Xenopus tropicalis: one gene and its partner. The protein of the gene in region 1 purifies or fractionates together with the protein of each later gene. This does not show direct contact. Links are inferred from orthologs where the notes say so. Each region holds a gene or a part of one and is shown in the gene's direction. Other genes may lie near its edges. The genes, in order: arhgef6 and pak2.

Region 1 (17,133 bases):
AATGGCTACGAAAAACTTGCGTTTTTTGTGCAAATCGTATTGGTAACGAAAAAGTTGCAACAATTTCCGAAAAGTCGTAAAGGCGCCGAAAAAAATACGAAAAAGTCGCAAAATGTTCGTTTTCCAATCGGAATTTTTCTAATTCTGATTTGTGGGTTAGTAAATGTGCCCCTTAGTGTGGCATCAGCCTTAGGGGCTGATTCGCAAACGTTTGTTATCACAACGCATTATGCGATAAGATTAATATTATGTCTAATCAAGTAACAATTCATCAGTCATTTTGCATGTGTTAATAGTCGCATATGCAAGATTGCATCGCATTGCATTGCGACACTTGGCAAATAGGTCTTTGAATTATGCGTTCAGTCTAGTTCTATTTTAAGAGTTAAAAGCATAAATTGTGATCAATACTGTGAAACTTAACACCTCCTAGGAGTGGGCGTTACTAAACAACATTGCAGTTTATGATCGGCTGTGTTGACAAGATGGAGTTTGCAGTCTGATTTTTTTTTTTTTAATCTGAAGAAGAGAATCAAGTATGTGATCACCTTAGAGTGATGCATCCTCAAATTTTCATGAAAAACTGTAGTTTTCAGAAAGTAACGGTTACCTGGGTAGTAGCATATGATAATGTGTGCTATAAAATAACACATAAATATATTGCATGCTTTAAAATATGGCATGCTAAAAGATACCGCACATGGCTCACTGAAAAATAACAAAAATAAAAATCAGACAAGTGAACTTTTGGTGAATCGATAGTTAATTATAAAAATATAAGAAGTGATACCATTTTTAAATCATGCTAAAAATAACACTATGGGGGAGATTTATCAATCCAATAAAATTTTACGACAAATTCGTATTGTCGCTTCGGTATCGTGAAATTCCTTGGGCCAGGTTGGAGCTGCAGAGTGCCATTGAGTCCTATAGGAGGCTTCCAAAATCATGCAAAGAAGGATCAAAGTCGGAAAGGTTTTCCCACCGTTTATGATCATTCAATACGAAAAAGTTGCGATCTTCAGAAATGATTGTATCCAATACGAATTTTTCCCATTCAGGATTCGAATTTGTGTCTTAATAAATCTGCCCCTAGGTATTTCGACCTTTTGTGAATCACCCCCAAAATATGATATATTCTGGGGGTATAGTTTTTCTTCAAGATCAACACATACTTCATTTGTTGTGGAATAAAAAAAAAAAGTTTCTGCTAAATACAAAATGAGTAAATGCCAAACTGCAAAGCTATGCTAAGGGGCAGATTTAACAATATAAGTTTAGAGCTTAATACATAAAAACTAACCAACATTCTATTCATTCCTATGGGATTTTTAGAAGCATATTTATTAATGGGTGAAAGTTAGAGCTCACCATTTGACAAATACGCCTCTAAAAATCCCATAGAAATTAATACAACATGGGTGAGGTTTTTATATATTAAGCTCTAAACTCACATTTTGATCAATCAGCCCCATAGTGTTATAAAGTTCTTGAAAGTTCTTCTACAACCAGAAATATAGCAGATTGTAAAACTTGCATTCTGGGGTACATGCTCTTTGTGTGCCAACATGTGCTCCCTTGAGGTGTGGGGAGTAAAGCACCTGCAAAGGGGATTTTCTTAAATTACTATTTTTCCCATCTTCAGGGAAACAATTTTTATGTGGTAGGTGCCCTTTATGGTAGGATAATATTAACTGAAACTGCTCGCATAAAGTCATGGCATAATTGTTTTGCCCTGTGTAGCCTCTTTAGCTAATTTATAGCAAACTTGTATTAGGTACTGTCTTGGAGTTAATTTCTGTGATTTTAGCACATGACACTTCTGAGAAAGTTGTCCCGCTGCACCTAAGTGGAACTGGTGTGTTCTATAAATCATTTGGATCACTTTAACTAAAATGGAAAGGTAGGTTGGGGTTTGTGATCATCCTGCTCTCCTGAGAGCACAATAGTCATTGCAAGCTTAAATGCCATAATTTAAATTTTACAAAAAGTAAATATGAAATATATATATATATAAAAATATATTTCTAGTGTGGCTTTCCAATAAAGGAACAGATTGAGTCTTACTCTTTTCTGGTAATATGAAAACCTTTGGTATCCTCTGCCTCTTGCGAGACGGAAAGCAACAGGTAAGGGAGTAAGATCCTTTTTATGTCATGCTTAAGTTATTCTATTCTCATATCTTTTAAAAACGTTTCTATTATATTGACTTTAATAGCAAGGGCAGTCACATAAAAAAATATATAAATAAATATTTTGAAATAATATTTTGGTTGACCAAAATTATGCCATGATGCATACAAATGTGCAGTTGGTCTTCATTTTTAAATTATTTGGCTTTTGAAATTTTAGCAGCTATCCTTTTGTTAGGGTCCAGTTTAACCTAGCAACCAGGCAGTGCTTTTAAAGTGAGACAAGAATATGAATAGAGTAGGGCCTAAATAAAATTGTAGCCTTATAAAGCCATAGTTTTCTTCACAATAATGTTTTCTTTAAAATGAAGACCAATTGAAAAGTTGCTAAGAAAAGGCAATTCTACAGTATAATAAAAGTTAACCTGAAGGTCAACCACCCCTTTATTAAGGTTACCAGATTCAAGAAAAATCCAGTGATACCAAATAGGAGTCTCACAAAAAATATGAAGTGAAAACAAAAAGATCACACTCAATATTGGGTCCACCCAATGGAACATTTCCTAAAAATAGAAATATCAGTGCATAACTGAAAGGCAGTCCTGTGCAAGTTTGGTATTTCTGTTTTATAATGTATTTTTTAAAAATATATTTGTTGGTTCAGGAATAAAATTTGAAAAGGTAGAGTGAATTATTAGCTACGTAAACAGTGTACCGTATTTTCCTGTGTATAAGACGACTGGGCGTATAAGACGACCCCCGACTTTGGCACGGATTTTTCGGGGATAAAAAGTCGTCTTATACAGTCTTAAAATACAGTAGTTCAGCTATAAATGAGCAAATTATATAAATGAATCAGGCTGGAAAATGTAATAAATTTTAACTGGTAAAACCTTGATCATGTGGAATTTTGTATTTCCCTTTAATGAATAGGCCTCCTAGTTCTTTTAGTAAGGTATAGACTATTTATATATTCTATTTATATAGTTATACTAGTTATATAATTATATTCTGTCTTAGTCTTAATTCTTTGTGTTTTTTTCTTTTTACATTTGTTGCGGTCAATGAAGGCTATTTGGTTGCTAGAGTTGAATTACCATAGCAACCAAGCAGCCAGTAGAAAGTTCGAATGAAAGAGAAACATTGTATAGTCTGAACAGAAAAATTAAGCAATAAAGTTATAATTACCTAAAAATGGTGATGTGGTAAGAATTTATTACAAGCCCTTAGTGATATACAACGTTAGTCACTCTTGCTTTAGCTGACTAGCTGGGAGTTGCAGTTTAATGATGACCGGAGGGCCGCGGCTTGGCCAACCCTGCCCTGGTTTCTTTTCATACACTGAAGCTTCCCATGCTTTCCGGGTCAGGTTCCTGCTGAGTCCGTGGCTGAGGCACGGTATCAGTTTCGTGCAGTCGCGCCGCCATGCCCAGCTGCTGTGTGGCCGTCCCCTCCCCCGGTACTAGCCGCTGTGCATGCCGGGCCCTGCTCATGCCGTCGGTGCTCGGGGCTCTGCCCGCCCGGGAGATGCAGCTGCTGCTGGAGAAGTGACCTCAGGTAAATAGGCTTCCTCCTGATGGCGGCCCTGCCATATCCGACGTATAAGACGACCTCCGACTTTGGTGCGGATTTTTCGGGTTTAAAAAGTCGTCTTATACGCCGGAAAATACGGTAATTTAGAAATAAAATATACACCATAAAAATCATGACAAAATCCCTTTAAAGGAACAGTAACACCAAAAAATTTAAGTGTTCTAAAGTACCGTATATACTCGAGTATAAGCCGATCCGAATATAAGCCGAGGTATCTAATTTTACCTAAGAAAACTGGAAAACTGTATGGACTCGAGTATAAGCCTAGGGTGGGCTTACATAATATTACAATTACATGATGCTGAGAAGTGCATGATGCCCATGACTAGACAGGCCCAAAAATCTCTTTGGAGTGAAGCATCTTGCACTTGAGCCTCCTGGTGCACAGCCCTGATAGTGGATCTACCTACCAAATCTTGCACCCAAGGGGTTCAGCTTATGTACTAAGAGAGTGCATCAGGGTAGACTTACAGTTTGTGCAGGTTCACAGGGGCCTTGTGCAGCCATGAAAAAGCCAGGTTTGCCTGGTGTGCCAAAGGACTGGGGTGCAATACATTGCAGGCTGAGTCGCTCTTTGGCTGGGAGCAGCCACTTTCAAGTTAAGGCACAGTTTGGACAGCTCTTTCTCAGTCCGGGTCCTGAGTTCTATGCAACCAGTATTAGAAGGTGGTTGGTTGCTTAGCAACCAACCACCACCACAGACAACGCAATGGGCTGCTTGTGCTGCAGCTTAGCCCAGGAGTAGCGGCGGGTGTTTACTGTAGGCTGGGAGCGGGGATGGTTGAAGCTGCTGGGGACCGAGGCACACGCTCCTCTTGGTCACTGTGTCCGGATTGTAGAGATTGTCCAGATGAGGGATCGTAGCGGTACAGCGCGCACAGCGAGGGGTGGGGCGTCTGAGCGGTACTTGCGTGCACTTGCGTGCATCCAGAAGGGGGGGTCGGCGGCGGGGGTACGAACGAGCGGCAGCTGGAATCCTCAGACAGAGCGGATTCTCGCACGGAATCTGCCATAGGAGCGCACGTCAAAGAGAGGTTTTAGTGGTACAGCGCGCACAGCAATGAGGTGGTTTGAGCGAGGAGGGGTTGGTGGCGGGGGTGCGCGTGGACATCCACGGGATATACATGTTATCCATATACGCGAGTATAAGCCGAGGGTGACTTTTTGAGCACATTTTTGGTGCTCAAAAACTCGGCTTATACTCGAGTATATACGGTAATTGAAATATAATGTACTGTTGCCCTGCAATGGTAAAACTGGGGTGTTTGCTTCAGGAAGACTACTATAGTTTATATAAATACGCTGCTGTGTAGCCATGGGGGCAGCCATTCAAGCAGGGAAAAAGGAGAAAAGGCACCTTTGTATTCTACAGGGTTAATCTGTTAGCTGCTATATAACCTGTGACTTTTCTTCTTTTGAATGGCTGCCCCCATGTCTACACAGCAGGGTTTATATAAACTCTAGAAATGTTTCTGAAGCAAACACACAACTTTTACCAGTGCAGGGCAGCAGTATATTATAGTTTAATTTCTTTAAAATATATACATTTTTTGGTGTTACTCTTCCTTTAACACATTATGTATGTCACCTGGAACAGCTCTGCAAATCAATGGTTATTTGGATATAGGTTCCCCCTGGCTAGCCTAGCCCCAGCAGGTCACTTCAACAGTCTCCAAGCAGCAGAATTATAAAAAAAAATGTTGTTTTATATATTTTATTGGGTTTTTCAAAATAATGCAGGTTAGGGGACACTAACCGTGAAATTGCTGATTGGTTGCCCTGGGCAACATCGCTGTAATGCTTCACTCCACTTTTTACACAGCATGATAAATATACCCCTATATTTATCATGCTCAGGGCCACCAATCAGGCTGGATGCCTGGCCTAATGTATTTTATTTAAATATCCACATTTCTATATTCTACTAGATATATTTTATTTTCAGTTTATTCATTCAATAAAATGCTCTGTACTGTATATACACAACATGTATGAGGCTAACTATATCCAGTATCAAAGAACATGCATTTTAATTTCAGCCTCTTATCCTGTGCTGATCTGTTCTGCACTGGCTCAGAAAACAGAGCACTTATCCTACATAATTTATGAGACCGGTTTTCTGGAACATCAGGACATCCAGAATAACTTTGAAACCCTAGAGCAAGCACAATGAGAATAAGAGATGCAAGCAAAAAATACTACTTTAGGATCCCCAGAACGCAAAGCATAAGAGCACATTCTATTACATGCAGCTTCCTGCTTGTTACTGAAGGCAGTTGGTAAAGCTGTTGAAAAGTAAGCTCAGCCCGCACATATAGGAAGAGCAGAGCAGATGCAATCACGGATGTGGCTGCAGAACAGCTTTGTTACATTGCACCCTGCACTGTACGAAGCCAATTTACACAGCCATGAACCCTGAGGAACAGACCGTCACTTGGCTGATCTCACTGGGGGTGTTAAGTTCTCCCAAGAAAAACATATGCAATCCTGCTGACTTCTTGAAATGTTCACTGAAGGATGGGGTGGTGCTCTGCAAACTGATGAACCGCCTCCTCCCAGGCTTTGTATCTAAGGTAAGCCATTTCCCACTTTCTCCGTTTCGCCTAAATAGGCGCACAATATGAGTATACGAAAAATCCTGATTTTTAGGTATGATTTGTGCACAATCTTTTTTCAAACACAATTCTGGGAATAAAGGAACATAACTGCCTGGGCCTAAGTAAATAGAAATTCATACAGAGTCTATAGCAGGGGTCCCCAACCTTTTTTACCTGTGAGTCACATTCAAATGTAAAAAGAGTAGGGGAGCAACACAAACAAGTTCCTTGGGGTGCCACATATATGCTGTGATTGACTATTTGGTAGTCCCTATGTGGACTGGCAGCCTACGGAAGGCTCTGTTTGGCAGTACACCTGTTTTATGCAACCAAAACATGCCCAAAATCCAGGAATTCAAAACACCCAAGCGGTTGGGGAGCTCATGTTGCTCATGAGCCACTCACTGAGGATTACTGGGCTATAGTCTATAGGTGTCCTCTGAATACTTCATTTTCCTCCCACACTCCAATAACATACAGCCAGGAAAACTGGCTCCCAATACAACTGACCCTCCTGTGTGTGATTGTGATAGGGCCCTTAGACTGTAAGCTCCACTGGGACAGACACTGATGTGGATGATGCATAATCTCTGCAAAATGTGTCAGCGCTATATAAATTCCAGGAAACAGTTGAAAGTAAAGGCCACTTTTAAGGTAAAATCAGTGTGTTAGGTTAGCTCCTTAAGTATATAATACCCCAGTGCTTAAATGTTTTATATCCTCCCATGGTTATGTTGCAGCAGGACACTTGAAATATTTGTATGTTTTGTAGTCTTTTTTGCATAGCAATACACTAACCTGGAGTTAACATTCTGGCGTTTGGCACTGCTCTGAAAGATGGCAGAGGCTTGTGGATATTGTAGTTTATGAAAGAGGAAGCACTGATACACTGATGCATGTTGTTTAATAACTGGTCCACTTTAGTTCCTCTTATGCTTTTGTAGCGAGAACTCTGTTGGCCATGTAAGGATGAACTCTGTTTTGTCACTTCCCCTTAATGCGTGCTCAGCTCAGTCTGACTACTGCTTGATGCACGTCACATCTAAACATCTAGTAAGTTAGCTATATTATTTTTCCTCTTATATTCATTTGAACAATATGTTTCCCTTTTTAACGCAAACAGCTTCTAATGTACCCACTAACTTTGCTCTAAGTACCCCAGGGTATTTTTAAAAACAATTATATAAGGTTGTCTGAATGTTTCCTGTGCCTGGTAGAGAATGCTAGGAGCAGTTCTAAAGCAGAAGACAGCAGAGCAGCAGAAGAGCTATACGTTTGCTGAATACAATAATTATTTTGCACATTTATGGAAAAGGTATGTTAGTTATACAGTCTTATAAATACTGTATGTAGTGATTCACTGCACATCTTATTGTATTGTTACAAGGCATTACTGCTTGATTCCACTCTTCCATTCAGCTTTAACTTCATTGAATTTAAAATTGTGTAACAACCTCATTTGCTCTTTGGAAAATATGATATATGCAACTGGAAGCACAATACACAGCTGAAAACACTCTGTCAGAAAGGATGATGGGCAGAAAATTCATTTAAAGCAAGATTCCAAGCATGAAAATCATGCAGTACAAAACATGCATTGTAACTCTTGATTGCTGAGGATAAGTGGGGTTTATCATTCTCACGATCATCTGAGATGTACTACATCAATCATGTTTGCATTCGGACAAAATCCAATTTTCAACTATAATTTGTATATTTAAATCTGAATAAAAGTAGCATCACCTAAACATAAATACTTTTAGTGCTTTAAAACATCAAATTCATCTCAGCCAAACTATAAGGCAGTGGTGTCTGGACTCTTACGGAATATGCAAAGCTCCCCTTTGAAGGACAGAATTTGGTTAGGATGCCTCTAAGTTCCAAGAACCAAGTAAACCATTCAGTCTTTGTTCTCCAGTGTAAAATTTAAGAAAGCAAATAAGCATTCTGGACAAATCTTACAATATCTGGCTTACCCTAAAGCTGTGCCCCCAGCCACTACCAATCCACACTCACTAGCACACCCTGGCCTTTCCACTCTGTTCCGCCTGGTGCACAGTATTTAGAGTGAGACTTCAGCACTCTCCACCACGTTCCAAATAGCACAAAAATACCGGCACAACAGGACTTGTTTAAGCGGAATAAACCCCCAGCCACTGCTCCAGGACCCTAAGAGGGCCACCCAGTGGCGTAGCGAGGGGGGTGCCGAGGGGGCCATGGCCCCGGGCGGCGTATCAGAAGGGGCGGCGGCGGCTCCTTCTCTCTTACGCTTTTATAAGGTTGCGCCCGTGCGTATGACGTCACACGTCAGCGACGAGGCGCAACCTTATAGAAGCGCCTGTTGCCTGTAAGAGAGAAGGAGCCGCCGCCAATGGTCTGTTGGGGGTATGTACTATGGGGGAAATTGGGGGCACTGTGTGGGGGCTACTGTCTATGGGGAAATTGGGGCACTTTCCATGGGGGGGGCCAGGTCTTTGTGGGGTATTGTGTATGGGGGCACTTCCTATTGGGGGCACTGTGTATGGGGCAATTGGGGCTTTGTGTATGAGGGCACTTTCTATTGGGGGGCAAGGTCTTTGGGGGGTATTGTCTATGGGGACACTGTGTATGGGGCAATTGGGGCACTGTGTATGGGGGCACTTCCTATTGGGGGCACTTTGTATGGGGCAATTGGGGGCACTGTTTATGGGGGCACTGTGTATGGGGGAACTTTCTATTGGGGGAACTGTGAATGGGGCAATTGGGGCACTGTGTATGGGGGCACTTCCTATTGGGGGCACTGTCTAAGGGCAATTGGGGGCACTGTGTGGAGGGGGCTGTCTATGGGGACACTGTGTATGGGGCAATTGGAGGCACTGTCTATGGGGAAATTGGGGCACTTTCTATGGGCAATTGGAGGCAATGTGTGTGGGGGGCACTGTGTATGGGGCAATTGGGGGCACTGTGTATGGGGGTACTGTCTATGGGGCAGTTGTATGGGGGGACCGTGGCCAGAATAGCGTTAGGGGGGCCTGGCCAGCATAGTGTTAGGGGGCCACTGTGGTAGGGTGACCCTAATACTTTTTATGTCTGTGTGTCCTGTACTGATGGGAGGGGCCCTGTGATTTCTGATGGCGGCCCTGCCACCATGGGCAGCCACGGACGCACAGCTGAATCCACTTTTGACAATTATGACATGCGCACCGCATTTCAAATTCAATCAAAAAAAAAAAAAAATTTAATGCTGCTTTTTTTATTTTGTCTATTTTTTTTAAGAATAACTAAATAGAGGGGCGGCAAATTTCCGGTCGGCCCCAGGCGACGAAAGCCCACGCTACGCCACTGGGGCCACCCCCACCCCAACTGAATGCTGAACAATTGAACTTAGGCAAAGACCATTGGGAAATCTCACGTTTCAGCATTTTCATGTGATACCTATTCAACTCAATAGAAGACAATTTCAGCCAGGTGCATAGTCCCTTGTAGTTATCATGAACCTTAAATATTTTTTCATTTAAAAATGCTAAATATCTTCATAAATAAAATTTGTTTGTATTTTTGCATTTATATGTATATTAATGAATAACAGTCATTATCATCATAATCAGCAACTTTTTGTTGTCCTATTTTTCTTTTTTTAATGGCTTTCATCCTTAGTGTGTTTCTTCTAGACCTGAATTTTAAACTTAAAAGCAATTCATTTCTTTACACATTTGTTTGTTATTATGAATATAGGTTCTGTATAAAAAATGCATACTATTAATTTGAATACACATGCTCAGATTTTCTTTGGCAGATTGAACAGGCCTGCCCAACCATCAGACCACAGTTGGTCTGTCCAAAATAAAATGTTCATCTGCCTCAGCATGAGAACTGGCAAATGCAGAAGTAAGATAAGCTGCACGCAACAATAGGCCCTGGTATGCTTAGTCTTCCTGTGACAACCATATAATGATAACCCATATTGCTTCAGAGTTGGCTTTATACAAAAGCATAAGCATTTACTGAGACATCGTGAAAGAACTTTAGCTGCAAACTCACAAGCCTCTCTCCGCTGTTCTGCCTGTTCTACCCCCGGCTAGATGTGTTTCAGTGCAAGGCACGACGAGCCGCAGCTTGCTTGACACTACAGCCAATACTGACATATAGAAGCAAATCCAAGTACGTAGTAGCTTAGTTGTATGTATAACTTGTATGTATAACTTTATTTATAAAGCGCCACAAGGGTACGCAGCGCTGTACAGTCTTACATGGTAAAGGCAGTTTGTATTAAAGGTGGTTGTTGTAACCCTATTTTACTGTGATGCTCAAATATACGTACTATCTATAATACCAAGGCCAGACAAAAATGCAGTGTGTGATGTACTGCTGCTGCCAGTCAGACCAAAATATTTTTGATCTGACTGCGAAAACGAAATCATATTGCACAGATAATAACTGCATATAGGTTACTGACAAATTCTGTTTGAACTTTTGAAATAAACCTCGATTTTCCCTTAGTCTCACTACAAAGAGGATTCCTTTATTTACTGACACTTTCTATTCCCTCCAATGATTGTATGTAAACCAGTACTGTAGAGGACTGTGCTGAATTGTCTGCAGTGCCTTCCTGCACTCACTGCATATGCTACACACAAGCACACGCACTAGGGAGCTGCAGCAGTGTCAGAACAGCTTGTTTGGCTTATTTGTCACACATGTTCTGATTTAAAGGGTGGGTGCTCTGATTTTCCTTTCCGTTGCTGCTTTAGCGTTGTGAATTTTAGTTTTTTTTACTGCAAGCCACTAGGTTTGATCACATGGCCTGAAGCATTCTGTAGCTGTGTCTGTGCATGTTCTTCCAATCACCCTTCTGGCTTCCTGAACTTTGTAATGTAAACCTCACACTTATTGGCAGCTTTGCGGGAACTCGAGAGGTTATTTCTGTGCTACTCGCTGATTGGTTAGAGATATTTTCCAGCCCAGTTTACATTCTCTTCCTGTCACTGAATTCAGACTGTACAGGAAAGGAGAAGATCTTGTTTAGTAAACTGCTTTCTATAAGGTCAGTAGCTTTGGGTTTGTGCCCTTATTAACACACCTTTCATAATAAACTTATGCTAACACAGCATGTTGTTTCCTCCCCTACCCTCCCCTCAGCAGTTTAACAGGACTGTTTTGTATTTATACAAGCAGTGTATTCATTCACCTCTTTGTGTGTAGCTTGCCAGCATGGGATTTTCCTGTACAGGTATAGGGACTATTATCTCAAAAGTTAAGGACCTCAGATTTTAAAAATAAATCCATAATGTGGAACACTTGCCTTAAGTCAGATACAAAAGTTACAGATTGTCATATAGATTTATGCTAGCTTAGTTAAAGTCAGATTCAATGTACTGTCTTTTCATTACAGAGAAAAAGTAAACAAAGAAAAGTTGTTTAACCCCTTGCTTGCCATCGACATACGTGCTATGTTGTCGGCAAGCTACGTGCTTTTCCCAAAGTGCCCTTAACCCAGCGAAACCAGCACCAGGGAAAGGGTTAAATAGGGTGCTATCATAAATCGCAGTTTCCAAACACTCTGCATAATCAGTTAATAGACCCCATTCCCGTGTTTCTAAACTGCATAATATTGTAGTACAGTTATGGGATCCGTTATCCAGAAAGCTCAGAATTACGGAACGCCCATCTCCCATAGACTCCATTTTAATGAAATAATTCAGAATTTTAAAAATGATTTCCTTTTTCCCTGTAGTAATAAAACAGTATCTTGTACTTGACCCCAGTTAAGATATAAGTATTACTTATTGGATGCAAAACAATCCTATTGGGTTTACTTTTTATGTTTTATTGATTTTTTAGTAGACTTAAGGTATGAAGTTACAAATTACGGAAAGACCCCTTATCTGGAATACCCTTGGTCCCAAGCATGGGTCCTGTACCTGTATTATTTCCAGTCTGCCCTTTTTCCATCTTTTTCTTTGCTTGTGTTGATTTCCATTACTCCAGAATGAATGCTTTACCAACAGATAGTTTATATTATGTTAAGTAACCTATTAAAAAATCTCTCCAAATTGGAATATATATATATATCAGTAAATATTGCCCTTTTACATCCTTTCCCTTGAGCCACCATTTAGTGATGGGCTGTGTGCTCCCTATAGAGATTACATGACCATAAATAATGCAACTCTAACTGTAACAGAAAGTAGTGTGGAAGCAAAAGGCAGAATTCTGTCCATAAGTTGGCTGATGTTACCTAACATGTATGTGTGCTTTGGCTTGTGTGCACTGTGAATCCTATGATCCCAGTAGGCGGCCCTTAATTCATAAATTGGCAGTTTTTTATTTAGGAGTACCCTATAGCACATACTACTAAAAAAAGAATATTTTTATGAAAATGGTTTATTTAGATAAAGCAGGGTTTTGCATATGAGCTTGAGTTCTACATTGTTTGCGGGTATCGTTTTCTCTTAAATAACATGTACCGTATATACTCGAGTATAAGCCGATCCGAATATAAGCCGAGGTACCTAATTTTACCTAAGAAAACTGGAAAAACGTATTGACTCGAGTATAAGCCTATAAAGTGGGAAATGCAGCCGCTACTGCTAAGTTTTAATAATCAAAATAAATACCAATAAAATTACATTAATTGAGGCATCAGTTGGGTACATGTTTTTAAATATTTATTTAAAAGAAAAACAGTAAACTAGCTCTGTAAGTGGAGAAGAGGGTCAACAAAAACAATATGAGTACTACCCCACGCTCATTGCACATTGGCAAACTGGCAGCAGACCTGGTCCCGGAGGGATGTAAGGGGAAATAAGTATTGCTAGTGGGAGCCTAGGCCAGGGAACTGGAGGGTCTGGCTGTGGGTGGCCTAATTTGCACACAAAGGAGAGAGGGTGCTAGTCTAGAGGGACCCATGGCACCCGACTCGAGTATAAGCCGAGGGTGACTTTTTTCAGCACATTTTGGGTGCTGAAAAACTAGGCTTATATTCGAGTATATACAGTAATTGCAATAGTAACGTGTGACCTCTTCTGTCGCTCTCCAGATCTGAGAGTATTCCATTCCATTGAAAATTTGAGTACTTTGGGTTTTGTGGTCCAGTATTAGTTGACATGCAACATTGCCCAAACCTGACTAAAGGCTGGCATTAAAGTATGGTAGATGAAAGGCAGTTATTCTGAACAAAAAAGTCTGCACCCTAAGGGGCACATTTACTAATCCACGATTCCGAATCACGAATGGGAAAAAATCGTATTGGAAACGAAAATTTCGTAAGATCGCAAATATCACGAAAATGCTTACGAAAAAATCGTATTAGTCACGATAATATCGTATTGGCGATCCAAAAGTCACGAAATTTTCGTACTGAACAATTGTAAACAGCAGTAAAACCTTTCCGATTTTTTCGTGCAAACGTCCGAAAAAGTCGTGCAGCGTACGAAAAAGTCGTGCGGACGCCCGAAAAAATCGGCGAAAATACACTCGGAGCGTTCGCATGAACGCTCGTGCGTTCGTGCTTTTGTAAATGTGCCCCTAAGAGTCATTAATGTCTGAAAGTGCATGTCAGATGTAAGTCTCCTTGTTTTACACCAACAGTGCAATCTTTTTTCCCATAATTCCAGTGTCCCTGAGGTGGTGCCTGTCCTGAAAAAATTTAGCATCAGGAATGTGCCATTTCTATCTCTCAGTGGCAAAATGACATCTACGCACGGCTTCTTAGGCACACTGCGTCTATTGATGCTGTGGGAATTTACAGTGTCAATATACACTTGCTCACAGTTTGCAACAGGGATGGGCACATTGGTGCTGGCCACTTGTATGTGGGACTTCAAGGAGTGGGTTTGGATGCAGGTATCTTTAAGCTCTTTTGGGCAGGGCCCTCTTCTTGTATCGGTTATTGATTGCTTTATATGTTGCTCTGTATGTCCAATGTATGTAACCCACTTATTGTACAGCGCTGCGGAATATGTTGGCGCTTTATAAATAAATGTTAATGTAATGTATATTTAAGAAATGGCATTGAATTGCAAAACTGCCAGGTAAATCTTTGCTTGACTGCAACTTTACTTCTGTAACCATTTTGTACCAGCTCAGTGCCACCACAGCCTTTTAGCAGAGAAGCTCTGTGTCTCCAAAATGCTCCCATTATGCTCCCCATCTTTTCTGCAGAGTCACAGCGTGTGCATTGGGCACAAGGCCAATTAGTAATTAATATTATTAGCTTATGTATCCTACTAATGTTTGACTAAAGTTTTATAGTTTACTATGCCTGTTGATGGGATTTTGTGAGTGCCTGCCAAAAATAATGCCAGTTTTTCTCCTTAAGATGCAGGTCTGGGGCGTGTGCACCCTGACCCAACAAGATTGGTGAGCCTCTACTATAGTTAGTAATAAATTTCAGTTTGACATTGGGCTAGCATAGAAACCAGGGTATTCTAAACTAAAATTAAGCTTCTTCTTAAATTAACTATGAAACTTATTGTGTTTCTGAATAGAGGCATGATAGTGAATATATTTACTGGTGAATAGTTTTAAAATGAAAATAGGTTAAAGAGAGTAAAAATGCTGACTTGTTGAAAGAAAACTATCTAATAATATGTAATAATATACTGTAAATATATAAGCAATTAAGTACTAATATTTTGGGCAGATAGGCATAGGCAGACAGGGATAAAGTGACAAAAATAACACTGTAAGTTTCAACTAACATTGTGGGACTTTCTACCAGCTATGTGTGGCTAAACATGCATGTGTGTCAAATCACATGCTTTCATGCAGTGCATTGACATCAGTTTTGCATGGGACATTCCAAAAAGAATTGGTCTGCACTTTAAACCTGTTCAGTAATCTTAAAACAAAAAACTGCAAATCTTCTTAAAGGACAATGAAAGGTTAATATAAATTAAATGTAAGTCTAAAGCCATTCTTTTTAAGTACTTACTGCATATCTAAATTCCCAGATCCCTGCTTGCGTCTCTGAGATATGGTGCTGGCAGCCTACAGCAGTGTGAAGACTACAGTGACATCACTGAAATCTCTCTCCTCTTCCTGTAGGCTGCCAGCGGCAGCCTTCCTATTCTCTGAGCATGTGTGTAACTTGATCATGTCTCCTGTTCTGAGCTACACCAGCTACCCACCAGCCAATCAGAAGCGGATCTTGCAGAAGGGAGAGGGGGGGGGGGAGGGAATGAAACACATGTGCAGTATGTGCAGTATTCACCTTTTTAGAGATGGCTGCCTGTTCTAGAAAATGTGAAGTAAGTGTCACTGAGTAAATATTTGATTAGGTAAGCCAAAAGTGTGGCGTTTTGGGCATTGGGCAGTATGCTTTTTAAATTTTGACTTGCATTCTCCTTTAAATATTACTGGAAGATTGTGGTTTTATTGAGACATGGGAGTGGGATGAAAGGGCAAGCTTAGTAACATGGGAAAAAATATTTTTGAAAAGTCAGAATTATACTTTCCATGCAGCCTTTTTTTTTTAGAGTCTACAATCTTGTTGGTAGGTACCCTGTGCTCGTGCTGCAAATTAAATTGTATCCACATGATTGTGTAGTTGTCCATAGTACAAGTCCCATAGAAAACAGTCCTCTCAGAAGGGCAATGCTTTATCATGTAGTATGCCCGTTAGGTAATCCATGTAAATAAATTGTGCCCTTGGGATATTTTGTAATTAGAAGACATGGGCAAGTGAGAAGAAGTGCTAGAAACATGCTGTAATGGCTCGAGCCATGAAGAAAAACCTGGAAAGATGATTAGGCAAGGAACCTATGATATGGAAGATAAAACTTAAAATATGAAGGCTCTTGTCTAGAGATGAAAATGATTGGCGTAAGTTTGCTGTTTCTGGTCACTAGCAATGATGATTTATTTTGCACATCCAAGCTTCAGGAAAAATTAGTATTTGATAGCACAGTGCAGACAATTTTTTTAGCAGGTGACAAAAATTGCCTTTTTCCCACCAAAAACACTGGAAACATCAGATGTATTCACTAAACTTTTATTTATATAGTCCCAACACATTTCCACAATGCCTTACATAATTCACATCAGTTCCTGCCAATGCTTCCTCTGCGCTGTGTACTCAATTTTGAGGCCAGCACACAATAAATTTTGGTTTTCACAAAGAATTTTCTGTAACAATATCATTAATGATAACTCATAATGTACAGTTTCAGCTAATTAACATTGGAGAAATTGTGTGTATTACTTTTTGTATATTTGGCATTTCAGGTTTGCACAGAACCCAAGAGTGAAGAGGACTGTATTGAAAACATCAAGGAGTTTCTGAAAGCATGTTCAGCACTTCGGGTAGAGGTAAGCTTTCCCAATGAGTAATTCATATGCCATGTGCTTTTTTTTTTATATTGGAATGGCATGATGCCCTGGCTGTTGGCAGTGTATAAACAGCACCCTATAGCATAGTTTATGATGTTCTGTCACTGGAATCCAATAATTTATCATCAGATAATTAATTGTGCTTGTCAGGCATCATGGTCCTTTCTCAAGTGTCAACAACTAAACTGTCCATTCATGGCTGATGTAAAATAGCAAATATATTATTGAGTAACTTTTCTCATCAATGTAGCAGTCCATGGGTTACTTCCATAAGCTATAATGTCCATTTAAATAAGCATTTTTCCATTTAAGCCATTATCATCACCATTTTTTATATGAAACTAGCGAAATAATCTAAACAAAGTCAGTTATTAACTCATGTTTTTGTCAACAATTTTATATTGGGTTTGGTCCACTTTTTATATATAAATAAAAATAATAAAACACTTAAAGGAGTTGTTCACCTTTGAGATAACTTTTAATATGATGTAGAGGGTAAT
Region 2 (16,824 bases), on another chromosome or scaffold:
GGCCGATTGTAACTGCCGATATCGGTCCCTTAGACCGATTCGGCAGCTTATTGGCCCCTGTAGGGGCAGGAACGAGGGGCATGTCGGACCGATATCTGGCCTGAAATTGGGCAGATATCGATCGGGCAGGTTAAAAGATTTAGTCGGATCGGGGACCACATCGACTCGTTGATGCGGTCCCCGAACCAACTGCACCCATTGCTCCCGTTATAATACGATCATTCTTAACGTGTATGGCTACTTTAAGTTGTAAATGTAAAACATATTTGACCTAAAATATTTTGAATACCTCCTGTATTTTACATATGCTGACTGCCAGCCTCCTACAAACCCTTACTGCTGAGCTGCAAGGGGAGTCATATCACCCCGCCCCGCCGCAGCCGATCAGCAGAACAATGGGAAGGGAGCAAGATAGCAGCTCCCAGTAGGTATCAGAATAGCACTCAATAGTAAGAAATCCAAGTCCGGCTTGGGACTCCTCCAGTTACATGGGAGTAGGAGAAACAATAGGTTACCTGAAAGCAGCTCTAATGTGTAGCGCTGGCTCCTTCTGAAAGCTCAGACTCAGGCACAATGCACTGAGATGGCACCTACACACCAATATTACAGCTTAAAAAAATACATTTATTGGTTGAAGAATAAAGTTTTAAATGGTAGAGTGAATTATTTGCTATGTAAACAGTGTAATTTAGAAATAAAAAATATACCATAAAAATCATGACAGAATCTCTTTAAGGAACTAATATTTGTTTTCTTGCCCCAGAGTACTTTTACTTTTTGCAACAAATATTAAATGGTCACTATTACCTAAGGGTTCCACTTACACACTTGCTATACATTCTGGGTTGTTACAAATCACTAGATCCAGTATAGAACAATTTCTGGTTGACTCCTTAACAAACTGTGACATAAAATTGTCATGCAACAAATTAAACTTGTTTCCATTAACTGTACCGAAAGTACTATTCCTCAAGTCAATATCAAGGTAATAAAAATCCCTGATTATCATTACTCGCCCTAAACTAGCAGCCTTTTTTGGTATGGTACATGGATTCTATGTTCGGGAACACTTAAAGGGTTAATGCTCAGCTCTTCTTAACTTTCAGCACTTCTTTCTGCTTCTGTCAAGTGTTTTGCCTTCTGGGCAGGTTTTACAAAGCGCTGTATGCTTCATTAGCTGTGTGATTTAAAGGCAAGTTGAGACTTGAGTTTTTCAAGTTATTTGCATGCTTTAAATGAAAGTACCTAGAAGCAAGAGAATGTACTCAGTTAGTGCTTAATGTTCTTATACAGTTTTCTGCAGCTTAGCTGTCATTCTTTAGCGTTGTATACATACCTATGTGTGTGTATGTATATATATATATATATATAGCAATAGTGAAAATAAAAAAATAGATCTCTATTCGTCGATTTAGCTCATCACTTCGTGATGAAGGCTCAAGTTTAAGCCAAAATGTTCAATAAAGACTTATCTTTTTATTTTTGTGCTGGACTATATAAGACATAATTATTTAGTTTCCTGAGCACCCAGGCATTTCTGGTTTGTTACCTGTTGTGCACCTGTTTTTTTATATTTATTTATATATATATCAGTAGCTTTTCTTCTGCTTTAATAAGGACAAATGCTGTTATATTTAATTAAACTATGAGTGAATTAGTAGCAGGAATGTCTGCTGAATTTTAAAGTGAGTCCATTCTAATAATGAATATGAACACAATGGGTAGCTCTGCTGTAACCTGAGAGTTACTCAACTGGAGTGGAAGTGATTAACTCTATACCTTGTCTGCTTGTTCTATAACCCTTAGGGCCATGGCAGACGGGGAGATTAGTCGCCCGCAACAAATCTCCCTTGACGCGGGCGACTAATCTCCCCGAAATGCCATCCCACTGGCTAGAATATAAAATGGCCAGTGGGATGGCATACTGCAGCGCCAAAATCGCCGAAATTCCTCTCAAGGCAACTTTGGCGATTTCAGCAAATTGCTGCGCTGCAAATTTTGGGGAGATTAGTCGCCTGCGACAAGGGCGATTTGTTGCGGCCGACTAATATCCCCGTCTGTCATGGCCCTTATGAGTCTTCACTTTGTAATATACACCTGAATATATCATATACACTGCAGAAGGTCCCAGGGCAGACTAAAACTTTGGTAGCATAAGTAATATCACCACTATCTTTCAATCAATACACTGTGCATAACAGATGCACAAACCCCTGAATCTGCTCTGGTATGCTATCCTTATTACACATTGCCACTGTAATATATCTTCTGTACTTCGGAATTCATAAAAAAGAGGTGCTCTATAGGGACTTGCAGAACAGATACAGATCTGCAGGGTACCGTATCAATAAAGCAACCCTTCTGGGTTATTTATGGATCAATATCAGCTCTCTGGCCGAACCACCCCTTTAAGTAAATAATAATTACTTTTGGAAATGTCAAATCTGTGCATTACATGAAATATGAATACTATGGGGCACATTTACTAACCCACGAATCCGAATTGGAAAAATTCCGATTGGAAAACGAACATTTTGAGACTTTTTCGTATTTTTTGCGATTTTTTCGTCGCCTTTACGACTTTTCGGAAATTGTCGCGACTTTTTCGTTACCAATACGATTTGCGCAAAAAAACTCGAGTTTTTCGTAGCCATTACGATGCGCTCGTATCTTGTCGCAACTTTTTCGTATTGAGCGCTCGTAAGCGGCGGGCGAAACTTTCAGACTTAGCATGATTTTGGAAGCCTCCCATAGGACTCAATGGCACCCTGCAGCTCCAACCCGGCCCAAGGAAAGCCTCCCATAGGGCTCAATGGCACTCTGCAGCTCCAACCTGGCCCAAGGAAAGCCTCCCATAGGGCTCAATGGCACTCTGCAGCTCCAACCTGGCCCAAGGAAAGCCTCCCATAGGGCTCAATGGCACCCTGCAGCTCCAACCTGGCCCAAGAAAAGTCACCATACTGAAGCTTGAATGAATCCGAATCTTTCGTACTCGGCACGAAAGCTGCGAAAAAGTCGCGACTTTTCGCGCAAGTAGTAACGATTCAAAAAAAATCGCAACATTTTGCGCAACATTCGGAATGGCTACGAAAAAGTCACGACAATTTTCCGAAAAATCGCCAAATACCGATCATTACGAAAAAAACGCAATCGGACACATTCGGCCCGTTCGTGAGTAAGTAAATGTGCCCCTATGAGTACTAATACTAGAGTAATTTAAGAAAAACTATGGCAGGCAGTAAGTACAACGTTCAAATGCAGTCAGTGATGCCTTCATATGTAAAGAAAAAGTCCTTGCTCTTTATTCTGGACAGGCACTGATAATGGGGCAGGATGCCAAGTGGGAAAAACATGACTGCACCCCACAGCAAAATGATTTTAGGCACACCCTCTAACTTTGACAATTTTCCTATAAATAGATTGAAACTGCTTAATCAGCCAGAGTCTCAGTGGGCTCCCACTACTTCCTGTGCCCCCAGCAGTCCCAGAGTCTGCTTCTATAGTTATGTCCCTGAGTGTCTTTGTAGGTTCTCCTGCTGACATCACTGCTAATGGCCCCTGCACGGGAGATGTAGATTGCTCTGGTATAGGATAAACCAGACCCATTGTGTGTATAATGCTTCATCTCACCACAGTACCAGTGCATTATCATCAACCATCAGCAGAAAGTACCACAATTTTGCTTTTAAAAAAATAAAAAATGATTCAACTATGTTTGAGCAATCCTATGTTTTTATAGCAAACACAAGCCTTCAACATAGAACTTTACATTATTACTAATACCAACTAGTGATTTTAAAACTGTACCATATTTATACCTACAAATCACCATGATTAATTTAAATTTGTGCTACTCTGGGATACTCATTGGGATGTAGGAGAAGGGCCCATTGGGCTGTTCCAATTCCAAGAGTCCCTGACAGTCAAAGAAAGTGTTGGTGAGTGCTCTTCACACTATGTTGTATTTATAAATATCCAGCTACAACTACAGTGAAAACAGGGTGTAAACAAAGGGAACTGGGTGCCCTCACCCCCCCCCGTTTTTTTTTCCCTATCAGGATTCCCAACATTTTCCCAGAAGGTTTCAAACAAAATGGACCACTAGGATGTACGTTTGTACAATGACACTGATAATGATTCCAATATGCACTAGAATTATACTAAGTGCCGTGTACAAACACAGAAATTGTTTAATACACTAATAAACTGCAGCTACAGAGCATAATGGAATGATACAGAGTAGAAGTTGAGGATCACATACATTGTATCACATCTCCTTAGTGGGAACAGAATATACAAAAAATGCCTGATAATTATACAATGCAGTGCTTGTCCCAGTGCCTTCTAGTTTCCTTAAAACCCTTCAAGTGCAACACTCTTTAATTTTTGGCAAAGGCCTAACCTCAGACCTCTCCTTCTGGTATGTGACCCTGCAGAGAATTTCACACATTCACTCCTGTGGCTCTTTGTTGCTGGAACAGATCTTCGAGAGTTATTTATCTGTAATCAACTTTTCCAGGGGTCAAATTCAGACTAGAGGAGCCTGTAGGGCAGTCAATTAGTTTAAGCCACCCTTTAAGACTTTGGGTTAGCATGGCTGTTACGTACAAAGTCAAACGAACTAGGGTTGACTGGAAACACAAATATTATGGTTTCTTGGCAAAAAGCCTTAAAACATCAAGTTACTGGACTTCAATGGGGCACCTTACATTTAACTGCCAATATATATGTAACGGAAACCAATTAATTGTACTTATTTTATCATTGTAGCCGGTGAAACACCTTCCAAGGCCAGTACTGCAAATTTAACGGCACTCCATTACCCTTAACCATTAGGGTGTTTTTTGTAAGTAATTGTTACTTGAAGCTCCTTAACCTGACTGTTTTGCCAACCTCACTGTCCCTTCTAAACCTTTAGTTATAGCTTCTAATGCTAATGGACTCCTGCTGCACAAATATGGCCGCCCCCTCATAGAGAAACATGGGGGATCAGATGGGTAATATAAAGGCATTGAGCAAACACTTTTAAGGTAAAATAAATAGCATGCAAAAACAATTTTATGGTAGTTGTAAAAAAAGATTTAATTTTTGGTGTCAGTGTCTCTTTAAAGCAGAAGTACTGTTGCACTTTTCAAGCACTTCTGAGAACCCCATTTTACACATTTGGCAGAATATTGTCTTTGCTAGGTGATGTTCTTGGCCAAGTTGAGCAAAATGGGCAGCAGTCACAGCTACACTGCTTACTGCACAATATTGATTTAGAAGTAAAAGTACAGAGTACCTCAATGCACCATGGTCCCTGAGCTAATGCATTTTGCATCTTTGGACAGTAGTCACACATGTATCAGGTGGTTTATGTACTTGTTATTACTGAGCTAACATGTACTAACAGGCATGCATGAAATCTGCCCTTGACCGCCACTATGGATTCTGAGAAGCAAATCTTAGGGGTTGTCACAAATTATCAAGCAGAAAATTAGGTTTGCCTGCCATATAAGCTGATGCTAAAGGGCTGATTGATACATTTTGATGCCAATTGCACTGGTTTCTGAGCTGACGTACTAATAATCAGAATTATTTACTCGTCTCGTATTGTGACATTTATATTCTGTATATACAGTCAGCGTTCGACCGGGGTATTGGGAGAAAACCTGGTGGGCCCCCATGGTCCTGATCCGCTCAACCCCAGGGCGCTTCCTCCATGCCGCGTCCCTCCCCCGACACACCGCAGTTAGGATTCTTTTAGGAGCGTTCGCAGGGAGGGGGACGTAGGGTGTTGGGGGCCTCTGCGGGATGGGGGGGGGGGTGAAGAAGGTGGTGGGGGCCATTGGGGGGTGCCCTGGTAGGCCCTGAACTCCCCAGTCCAACCCTGTATACAGTATTATTATGCCACTGCTTTGAGTCGTTGCTATTTTAAAGGAGACATATCATATCAAAATTATGAATGTACCAGTGACTTCTATTCCTCTAAATATAGAAGGATTGTGCTTAAAAAACATTGTGTTTCTGACTGATTTATTGAGAAATTCCACAAAACCCCTCTAGTCCCACCAATCTGTTCCACTTCCTGCTGGCTGAATTCTCTGGATGAGCTGGGGAGCCGGCGGCTCTCAGTACCCTGCACTGTAGGATAGGAACCAATCAGCAGCTAGGCTGACCTGATAGGGAACGGAAGCCTGTCTGTGCTTGTGTGAGTGCAGGGCTGTGATTGGCTCTCCCCCTCCTACTGTGCTTCTGGCAGAGACCGTTAGTACACGCCCACCCTTCATTTGAAACACAGACAGAGAAGTGATAGGATCTATAGGGAGCTCCAATAAAGGGGCCATTGTTACAGATAGGATTCATTTTAAGCACAAAGGGAAACCAGTACCATATATTATTCATAATTGCCTACAAAATTAGGGTTTTTTCCATTTATCCAATATGTCTCCTTTAAAATCTCGTTGTTTACTATGTGAGAATGACAATAAAGATATATTCTATTCTATTCTATTGTGAGAGGGTCCTAAGCAGTGAATCAGGAGAAATGAACATGGGGAGCTACTGGGGCATCTTTGGGGGCACAGATCTTCCCTGCTAAAGGGCTGTGGGTGACTTGGGCTGGTACAGGAGCCCAAACCTAATATGCAGCATTTCTGCTTTCTGCCCTACTCTTCCCTTAAATGCAACCCAGACAATGAAGCTGCCCAAATACAGCTGTGTGGGGAGGGTGGGTGAGACAAGTGTAACATGCAGAAACCTGCATTCAACCCAAGGGCCACCTATCCGGCAAACCCCTAACAAGGCGTCAGCGCCCACTCTGAAAGCCAATAACAGCGCAAGCGCACACGCAGCAGGACTGCTACAATTTCACTGTCATGTTATTGGTAAGTAACGGCTCCTAGCACGCCCACACACTCCTCACACATACCAGGCATTGCATCTCATCTGACAAAAACACAGCGGCGTAATCCCAAACCCCCCTCACTCGCTGTGCGTACACGGCCCTGCCAGCACCCCCGCCGCCCCCCTTATGGTGGTAGCGCCCACGCTTCTCTGCCCGCCCAGTCTCCCCGCTCTGCCACTCAGCTCCTCCCTCTGTGACGCGCTTCTCACACAGTGGCGCTCAATTACTGAACTGTGACAGGAGCAGTGGGGAACCCAGGGAGGTGTGGCAACCCGGAACCGGAAAAAGCAAGGAAGAGGAGGGTCTGAGAGAGCGAAAGAAGGGGCCCAGTGGAGAGGGAGCCGGCGGAGGGGAACAAGTCACAACACCTCATTCACACACCCGGTAATAAGTAACGTGGTTTTCTGTCACACAGTTTGCACTGTCCCGTTACGTGTCATGTTATAAAGTTGGGGCGGCCTGGTGTGCGGTGTGGGAGCGGCGAGGCCGGCAAGCTGAGGGGTAACACCATGATGGGGATATTGTGAGGAGAGGAAATAGTGTGTCCGGGGCAGCACGCCAGCTATAGCCAATCCTTGGCTCCTATTGGGACCGAACTACAGCTTCTGGGAACCCGGGAACTCTAGTTTATCCACTGTCGGTATTCCTTGTATTCCTTGTATTCCCTGTATTCCTTGTATTTCTCTGTATTCCTTGTATTCCCTGTATTCCTGTGCTGGACCGGACAAGCAAGCACCCAGTGCTCAATTCCAACTCGCATCATGTGCAGCTGGGGTTTGTGGGAGTTATAGTATTCTGTACAATAGAATGGCCCTTCTTGTGCTTGGGGACGTGTCTTTGCTGTATAATCATTAGATAGGGACAAGGCAGGATTTTATTGGATCTCTTCCTGCTGTGAATACCAATGGTGCACAGTGGCACCCAGCTGCCAGGTTGGACTTAGTGGCTGTGAGCCCCTTCAGCAGAAACTCAGGGTATGAACCCCATAAAGAACTTTTTCAGACTAGTGGTTTTTGACATTTTGCAATAAAAAATTGCTGAAATAATTTCCATTGAGCTCAGTGTGAGATGCAAAGATATGTACCTACTGGGGCACTGCAACCTGCAAGGGTATCACTGTATGTATACAATACAATATGATATATGAGTGAGGCAAAAAACCTGTTTAGGCTGTGAATGTAACTTGGTGTATAACTGCTAGTCTGCACGGTCTTGGGGGTTTCCTCGGTTAAAACTTGCATTGCTTAATACCTTGGCATAACATGATTTTGCCAACCTGTCAGTTCAGTTGAGTCAATAATGGTACCAAGGCCGTACCTATCTAGTTGAAATGTAAATTGTTCAATTCAGAACAATGTTTTTATTTTGCAGAAATATAAAGAGATCATTACAGGAAACAAAGTTTAATGTCATTGGTGTGTACCCCTATTTAAAGTAACATTGCCATCCTGGGAAGGGTCCGATTGCGTCATTGGTGTCAGAAAGGATTTTTTTCCCCCTCTGCGGCAAATTAGAGTGGCTTCAGGTGGGGTTTTTTTTGCCTTCGTCTGGATTAACTAGCAGTGAGGCAGGTTGTATATAGGCATTATGGTTGAACGTGATGGACGTATCTCTTGTTTCCTATGTTAGGAGATTTGCTGATAAGACTGGAGCTACTTGCTTCCATGGCATTCTGGTAAATAAAATCAATATGGCACCAGGGTTACAGGTAGAATCCGTGTTGGACTGGCGGGCCAGGGGCACACTCTCCAAACTACTTTTTCTCAACTCCTCACTCAACCTCTATAAATCTGTTCTATTTAGTCTTCTTGTTCATATAGAGAAATAATGAATGACCATGAACTAGGCCAAATGGTAAGAAGTATGAGGGCCCCCTGACACCTGGGCCCACCGGGAGTCCGACACTTGGTAGAATGCGTAGGTATCATTATTTACTCTCAGCCAGGCGAGGAAATAAACTGCTCTGTAACATTCACTTTACTGAATACATGGTGTGTAGAAGTCTTTACCACTAAATGGAGGGGCAGAGTGAATCAGACAGCACAACTTTGAGAGCTTATCTAGCAGGGGAGCTTTTAGATTATTGTGATTTATGTAGATTACAGTTTGCACATGTCCAGTACAGTTCTTTTGGTCTTCTGTGGGCCTTGAATACAGCCAAGTGCTATATTATTTTGTTTTTTTGCATGCCAGAGCTCTAAATGAAAAATGCAATAATACAATAGTCAGTCATTTTTGTGGACAAATGTAGCGCTAACCGCAAGGGCTAATTTCTTCCCCCAGGTGGGTATACGTGCATTGCACAAGAGTTACAAAAATGCATTATTATAGGGACAAACTAATAGTGCTTTGATCACTTAAAGAGTAATACTAATAGCTGTGCATGTTATTTTCCTAATAATTAATTTAAAAAGTCAGTAATCTAAATTATTGTGCATAGTGAAACTGTAAGAAATATAGGCAAGTAAGATGTGCCTTTTAATGTTTAGAAAAGCAATTCCTATTATCTGCCGTAAAGCAATGTGATGTATTTCTCACTGTCCTTTTATCATTCCTTTGGACAGGTTGGTACTCGCACTGGCTGAACCCTTAAGGCGGCCATACACAAATAGATTTTGTTCTTCTTCCAACAAACTTTCAGATATCGAATTTATGTTTAAATGCAACAATCTAAAACTAACATTCAGATTGAAATTGAAGGATAAAGTCACGACAAACAACAATCGTATGAAAGTGATGTTCCTGCAATGCATTGTAGGTCACCAAAGGACATTGTCGGATACATGCATAGATTTTATCACTGTTGACTAATCAACCAGTCACCGTTGTATGAAAGTTATGGGAATGGGCCCAAACATGGTCCAAAAATCATACCATTAGATGGTTGCGTGTATGGCCAACTTTAGGTTTGTCACGCAAAGGCAGAGAAGGGTCTGCTGGATGAACCTTGTAGATATCAGTGGTGATACCCCTGCAGGCTTTCTTTGATTGACTGCTTACCATCAATAGAAAACATGTAATTGCTTGGTGCCTGACTATAACTTGTCAATCTGTAGTCTAGGTAGAGTAAAAACGACACCGTGATAGCAAGAGTTCTGTGATGCTATTTCTTATTACAGCTGATTCTATATTGGCTTTCCTATTACGGCTGTTGGATTGAAAGAACTGGTCCTCCAGTCAGAATGCTGTTATGCATAACTAAATGTAAAGGGGAAGTTTACATTTTGTTATTATGGTATAGAGCCACCTGTTGGAAGCAAGTGTTCAGTCAGTCTTCATTAATTTGAATACTTTTTTAATCATTGACATTGCTCTTCTGCCTTTTTCCAGCCTGTAACTGAAAAAGCTCTCTTGGGGGGTCAAATAACACAATGTCTGCAAGGGTTTAGTGGTGGTCCAATTTTTATCGCTTTTCCAAAGTGCTGTCTTGTTGCTAAGACAGTTAAGCTCTAGCAACCAGATAGCTCTTGAAGTTCAAGTCTAAGAGCTGTACAAAAAAATGTAAGTTTCAAAAACAAGGAATATCGTTAGATACACAATACATGGCCAGATTTTATTGCTATCTGACCGAAATTTTCTAACTTGTCCAATCGACTAAATGACGATCACAATGGTACTAAAATTATTATTATTAATATAATTCGGAGCCCACAGGGTCCGAAAAGCAGACAAACTACATTTTGTACTATTATATTGGTGCATGTATGGCCAGCTTAAGCATACTGAGCCATTTTAACTTTTTGACACTTAACATTGCCTCTCTGTGGAAAATATCAATGCTATTTATTTTTCCTTGAATGATACAGGCAAATTCTTGAATAGTGGTGGTTGTAATGGCGTTAGTCTTCCACATTGTGGTTTGCAGAGTTCAGGAGTGAAACTTCTCCTTATGTTGCTTTGTGTAGAGTGGGAAAATGTAGGTGTGAGAAAATAGGCACTTTGTGGCCCAAGTTTCTGGTCTTGCTGCAGGTTATAATAAAGCTGTACTGAAAACTTGCAATCTTTTACAGCTCCTAACAAATTCATATCTTTGACTCTTTCATATATTGCCGCTTAGCTATTCTGTTCATGCTTTGATATATACAGTTTACTTTAGAGACATTCGCACACTGAGACAGAGCTCAGCGTCTTACTGAGATTAAGAAGCAGTGACATTTTATCTTTACTTTTTCAATCAAATAACGTTCCAGCTCACCCTTTTAGGCCTGTTTGTGCATGTCTTGCACATTCTGAAGTGAATTCCTAATCTATTTGATGCCTATAGGCATTTTCGGACAAAGTAAGAGCTGCTATTTAACATGATGGATTGTCAGGTATGTTCTTTAAATTTTGCTCTCTTTATATATTGACACAGATTAGCAAGTATTGTTTCAACTGTAGAAAGCAGTACTGATACTGTAGTTGCTTTAAATTGACAATAGGCTTGGGTGCCAAATGAGTGGATAATGAGTTGAATAAAATGGAGTCTATAGGAGATGGTCTTTCTGTAATTCCAGCTTTCTGGATAACTAGTTTCCAGATAATGGATCTCATACCTGTACAAACATTTCTTTATGTTGAAACAAAACACAAAAAAATGAAAACAATAAGGTTATAATAGCTCAGCTGGACTTTGCACTAGTAAAACAACTGCTTATTGGGCTTTATTCTTACAGCAGAGAAGTACTTATTATGACTATTATCTGTGAGATAGGACATTATAACATATTGGGGGTTTTATTTTCCATTACAGAGTCAATAAGTACATATTTGCCAACTCCGATTCCAGGTACCGAAAATTGCTTCTGACTCCACAGCTCTAGTCAGATCATGCTACTCTAATCCTTGGAGTCAAATCATACTGAGGGCCTATGGAGATCTGTTGGGCAAGGACTACATGAACATGATGATGTGGTCTTAACCCAGTATTATATTTAAACCTCCCCAATCAATCAACATATGTCTGATTTTCACCCAGATATTGGTCATGCGGCCTCTCAGTCAGCTGAATAAGCTGATGAATCAGTCTGGAGGAGCCAAGTTTTCTGTTCCTATCAGCCCCTGTATGGGCAACTTTAGTCAGCAAATGTAGCCATAATGTGCTTCAGAAAGATACAAGCGGCAGAATTAAGTTATGAAATTCAAAAACCTGTTTCGAGGGTTAGAAGTAATTTAAGATGACTGATTGTTTGCTTGAGTGTTTAGGAGGTATGTGCTTTTTGTTGCACTTAATTATGGGCCTATGATTAAGTTCAACAAAAAGCACAAAACACAAAGGAATGTAGGTACTCTGCTATTTTGCAAATAACTATTATTCAATTTACTTTGCCTGTCTATATAGGATTACATGTGTGCCTGCTCAGCCACTCCTGTTTTTCATTATCACACCTTGCTGATGGTCTGGGGCATTTGCACTTTTTTATGACCAGAATTATACCTCCAACGTTGAGTTGTTAAAGAGACTATATGTGCAGTATCACATTATGCCTGTCTCTCTCTTGTTACATTTGCTTGGGCCGAACACACAGGCGATCAGAACAGTAAACAGTGAAGAGGAGTAGCGGCAATCTCATGCACCCAGAGGTTTATTATGTGTACTAGTGCTGTACATGTGTCAGATGAAGGCAGGGGGAGCGTTTGCTCTTTTTGCTTTCATTTAGCTCATATACTGTTATGCATCATCTACATGTGGTTACCATCCGATTTTAGTGATAAGTATATCCTCTCCATGTGTTATATGCGGAAACAGGTTATTATTATTAATTGCATCTCGGTTATTTAGAGCTACAGTGTTGATAGCATTTTTAAATCAGACAAAATGGTGCGAGGTTCAGCCTCTCACATAATTGTATCTCCTGTGTAATCAGATAACTTTACAAACTCTTCTGTACTGTGCTACTCAACCCAGTTATTAAAACTGTGCTTATTATTTGTTTCCTTTGAGGTTTAAAGTATACATAATGTACCTTCGCAGTGTGTCACTACTGGATAAAATTTGACGGGTTATACCTTGGCAGTCTGAAATCTCTCCTGTAAGCTTTCCTGTCTGAAACTAGAGGTTTCGCTTGTTTTCCATTGAAGTAAATTGTATCCTAGGAGGTGGTTATCAGTTATATTTTCATGTAGGAAAGATACATCTGTAAGGAAAATACTATAAAATATATTGTTACCTTTAGATGGACTGTACAGAGTATGAACAAAGGGATACTAGCAAAACTTTTTAACACACAGGTTATTGTACCAAACCTTGTATTTGTTAACAATATCTATACATGTATGGCCAGCTTTAGAATCACTCCTGTTTTATTAAGTAGTAGTTTTTCTTTGTTGACATATTCCTTTCTGCCAATAGGAAACCTGCACACCTTGTTTTGTGTTGCAAAGGGTGTTTGCTTGGAAAAGTCTTATTTTTGCAAACTGGGTAGCCATTGTTGTAAGCTTTCTTTTCATCTCCTAATATATGGTATTTTTCATGCATTGTATGTGTACAATGCATTGTTATGCAACGTTATATCTGGCTTTTTCACAAATAAGACCTTTTTGGGAACTGTTCTTCTGATAACATTTTTTGATTTCCTCCACTGGTCTTTGGGCCTCTCAAGTGATTTCACTTGGAAATGGTCTTTTTCCAGCTGTGTTTTTTTTTTTTTTTTCAGAAGTACAGAAACAGTCCTTTCATCATCTTCATCATCATCCTCATGTGCAAATTTAATTAGAGCTCTGAAAGAATTTGCAGGGTGCATTAGTGCTTCTCCAATAGGAAATCCTGGACGGAACTTCCTTTTTTATACACATTCTTACTCCACTGGAAAAACGTATCCCTTTTCCTGTCAAGCTGGGGTTATTGTATTAATGGTAAATGATGGCTAAGATATACAATGGTTGTATGTGCAAAAGTGTGTTGTAGCTCTCGCAAGTCTTTCTAAACTTTTTCATACCTTGGCGCAACTTTAAACATGGGAATTTATTTCTATATTTTTGTGTACATGTATTTTTTAATCAGTAGGTAAAGGTATTTTTTTTGGGGGGGGGGGGGCATGCACCCATGCATTTTTTTTGTTGCATTATATTTATTTTAATTGTCTTTGTAATACCTATTCTGCAATATGTAATGTAGAAAATTAAGAGCAGAGTTACTAACGGGATGTTAAAGAGGAATGCACAGAAAGAGAGGGCAGCGCGACTTGGAGGGACCTTTAGGAACCATTAGGGTTGCACATTGTGTGTAGTTGCTGGTAAATCCCTACTTTTTGTCCACATCCGGACCAATCCCTACCTCCCCTTCTATCCCCTACTACCAACTTTGTAAAACTACCTACTCATTTGATCCATCCTCTCTACTTGACAACTCTGCCCCCTTTTACATTACAGCCTGACCCCTGCCTATTCATCATCATCCAGACCCTTTTCCCTGACATGGTTTACTGTACAGACATGTAGGGGCGCAACCATATTTATAACCTAGGTAGAGACATTCCTCATAGACTTCAGTTATACAGCACCATTAAATGTCTGTCATCCATGTTACTAGGATCACTGACCATGCCAACCTATCGAAGTCCAAATCAACTATAACAGTTGTTGGTAAATGAAAGCAGCTTTAAATAAATCAAAGTAAAATGAAAGTATAGTATACAGTATAGAGTGGGTTGGGGCAGACCCATGCCCAACCTAGACATCCTTCCTGCAAAAGGACCCTCTGTCCTTCTATGCCCCTTCCCCAGACCTCCCAGAATGGGTTTAACTTTACCAGCCTTGGAAACTGGAAGTGATGGAGGTGGATTGACCAGATCAGGGATACAAATTGCTTTCTCTTCAAGGAGGTGGGGCGTTTAGACCACACCTTCCTAGGGCATCCCGATAGATTACCCTTATTACTGCCTACTTTGGTCAGGGAATCAATGATTTTCCGCCTGAAACCTGACTGCTTTGCGAGTGTAAATTAGTAAAAATAATAAGTGTTGAGTTATACCGTAAACTGTAGTGTGTTGGAAGGATCCTTAAGTTTTGTAGTTGGGGAATGCCCTTCCTAGTGATGTTGTAATGGCAGATTCTGTTCCTATAAGAGGGGCCTGGATGAGTTCTTGAACAAGCATAGTATCGAAGGCTATTGTGATACTGATATCTACAGTTAGTATTGATGTCAGTATATATGGGTTTATGTATGAGTATATAGATAGGTCTGTATGTGAGTGGATAGGTCAGTATGGGTCTGTATGTGAGTGGATAGATAGGTCAGTATGGGTCTATGTGTGCTGGGTTTACTTGGAAGGGTTGACCTTGATTGTCTTTTTTTCAACCCAACTATGTAACCTGCCTAGCATTAGGTAATCTGTTTGGTGGAAGGGCTTAATTTTCTATAACTGTGAGTTCTGCTTTAAAAGTGGAACTGTCACCCAGGCATAAAAAGCTGTATAATAAAAGTCCTTTTCAAATTAAACTTGAAACCCAAATTCATTTTTATAATAACACATTCAAACCCATTATAAAGGCATTTAAAAATCCCAGCTGTCAATCATATATTGCTTGCCCCACCTCTATGCCTTAGGCGTAGAGGCGGGGCAGGCAATAACTTTAGCTTTCCGTTCAGCACTACCTAGATGTCAATGCACATCTCACTATCCCCGTCCCTCCTCATCATCTAATTGTGCAGCCAGTGCAAGGGCCTGGGCTTCTTGTCCCCCATTCTGGCACATGAACAAGATTTTGGCATGATACAAAGTTTGCTTTCATAACAATGTCCACAAAATGGTGCCCGCTTGATTTCTTTGAGTAATCCAAGACGGAAGGAAACAAGATTTATATTATTTATATAGTGTAAGTAACATTTATTTTGCTTAACTGACAATATAGAAAATAATTTGGAGTTATGTCTTGGGGTGACAGGTCCCCTTTAAACTGGCATTTCCTAGTCTTAATACGTGCATCATCCCCAGGGATTCAGTGGTCTGATGCCAGGTGGCAATAGGTCATTTCATAGTAACATGATTTCTCCCATCTTCTTCATGCCATATTTAACTGTGAATGTCTTTCTGGTTTAAAAAAGAGCAGTAAGGCTCTGACAATCCCTGTTTTACAAGAGGATCAAGTAGCATGTAAGCTATTTATTAACTTTAAATAAAAGTATTTGGAAACCTTAGGTCCTTACCCATCTATGCATTAAGGGAAACTTAATCCAAGAGTATTTTTAGATAAACTGATGCTCTGTGTCATGTAATATTCAGGTTATATTTACAGCAGCAAGTAGCTTGCCTCTCCCTTTCATGGTAACTGACAGTCCTAACAAAGTTCAATAATATCATTTTTTGTTTCAGTGGTATAAAATCTAAGGGTATTTTAACAGTGACAACGTCCATCCTGTATGCAGAGTGACGGTAATTAATGGTCTGCCTGTCACTGCTACATGGGGTGGATTTCAACCAGGGGGTGAAAACATACTGATCTCAGTGGCAGGTGAATCTCATTAATTCTTTTCACTTTACATAAGGTACAGATGTAGGATGCAATTGCCTTTTCCTGCGCTGTGTAGCACTATAACACTACAGAAAACTCGTAACAAACAGGCACAATTGGATAAGTAACAAAGAGCCTTACAACAGACATAGCATCTTTAAAAACACTTAAAAATGACACAACCCAGCACTATCGTGTCTACCTCTACCCCAATACTCTGTGTCAATAGTGTTTAATAGCAGTAGCAAAAAGTAACATACTTAAAAGTAGTTCACTATAATTATTAATATGGATACATCTCCGATATAGTCCAAAAAAAAAAATATACAGTAGATTAATACACTAACTATAAGTGTAGTAGCTATAAATGTATCAACCTAAGAATTATAATAGTTACAATGTATACAAATAAATAAGTATAATAAATCATGCAAATAGAGACCATTTCCAGGAAGCAAAATAAGCATATTATTTTGCTCCGGAAATGGTCTCTATTTGCATGATTT

Evidence for each region.
Region 2: the proteins of arhgef6 (region 1) and pak2 purify together in Homo sapiens (affinity purification with mass spectrometry; 3 studies listed by BioGRID and IntAct, counting the BioPlex papers as one, with this or other methods). This does not show direct contact. The link is inferred for Xenopus tropicalis from reciprocal best matches to the Homo sapiens genes ARHGEF6 and PAK2.

Annotation. Positions count from the first base shown.
Region 1 is NC_030684.2:69,199,343-69,216,475, reverse strand, and holds the start of arhgef6 (rho guanine nucleotide exchange factor 6), read left to right. Parts: upstream 1-6,103; 5' UTR 6,104-6,133; coding exon 6,134-6,298; intron 6,299-7,342; exon of another isoform or gene 7,343-7,351; coding exon of another isoform or gene 7,352-7,375; intron 7,376-11,051; exon of another isoform or gene 11,052-11,345; intron 11,346-16,528; coding exon 16,529-16,612; intron 16,613-17,133. UniProt on the Homo sapiens protein: Acts as a RAC1 guanine nucleotide exchange factor (GEF).
Region 2 is NC_030681.2:129,796,622-129,813,445, reverse strand, and holds the start of pak2 (serine/threonine-protein kinase PAK 2), read left to right. Parts: upstream 1-6,956; 5' UTR 6,957-7,270; intron 7,271-7,387; exon of another isoform or gene 7,388-7,522; intron 7,523-16,824. UniProt on the Homo sapiens protein: Serine/threonine protein kinase that plays a role in a variety of different signaling pathways including cytoskeleton regulation, cell motility, cell cycle progression, apoptosis or proliferation.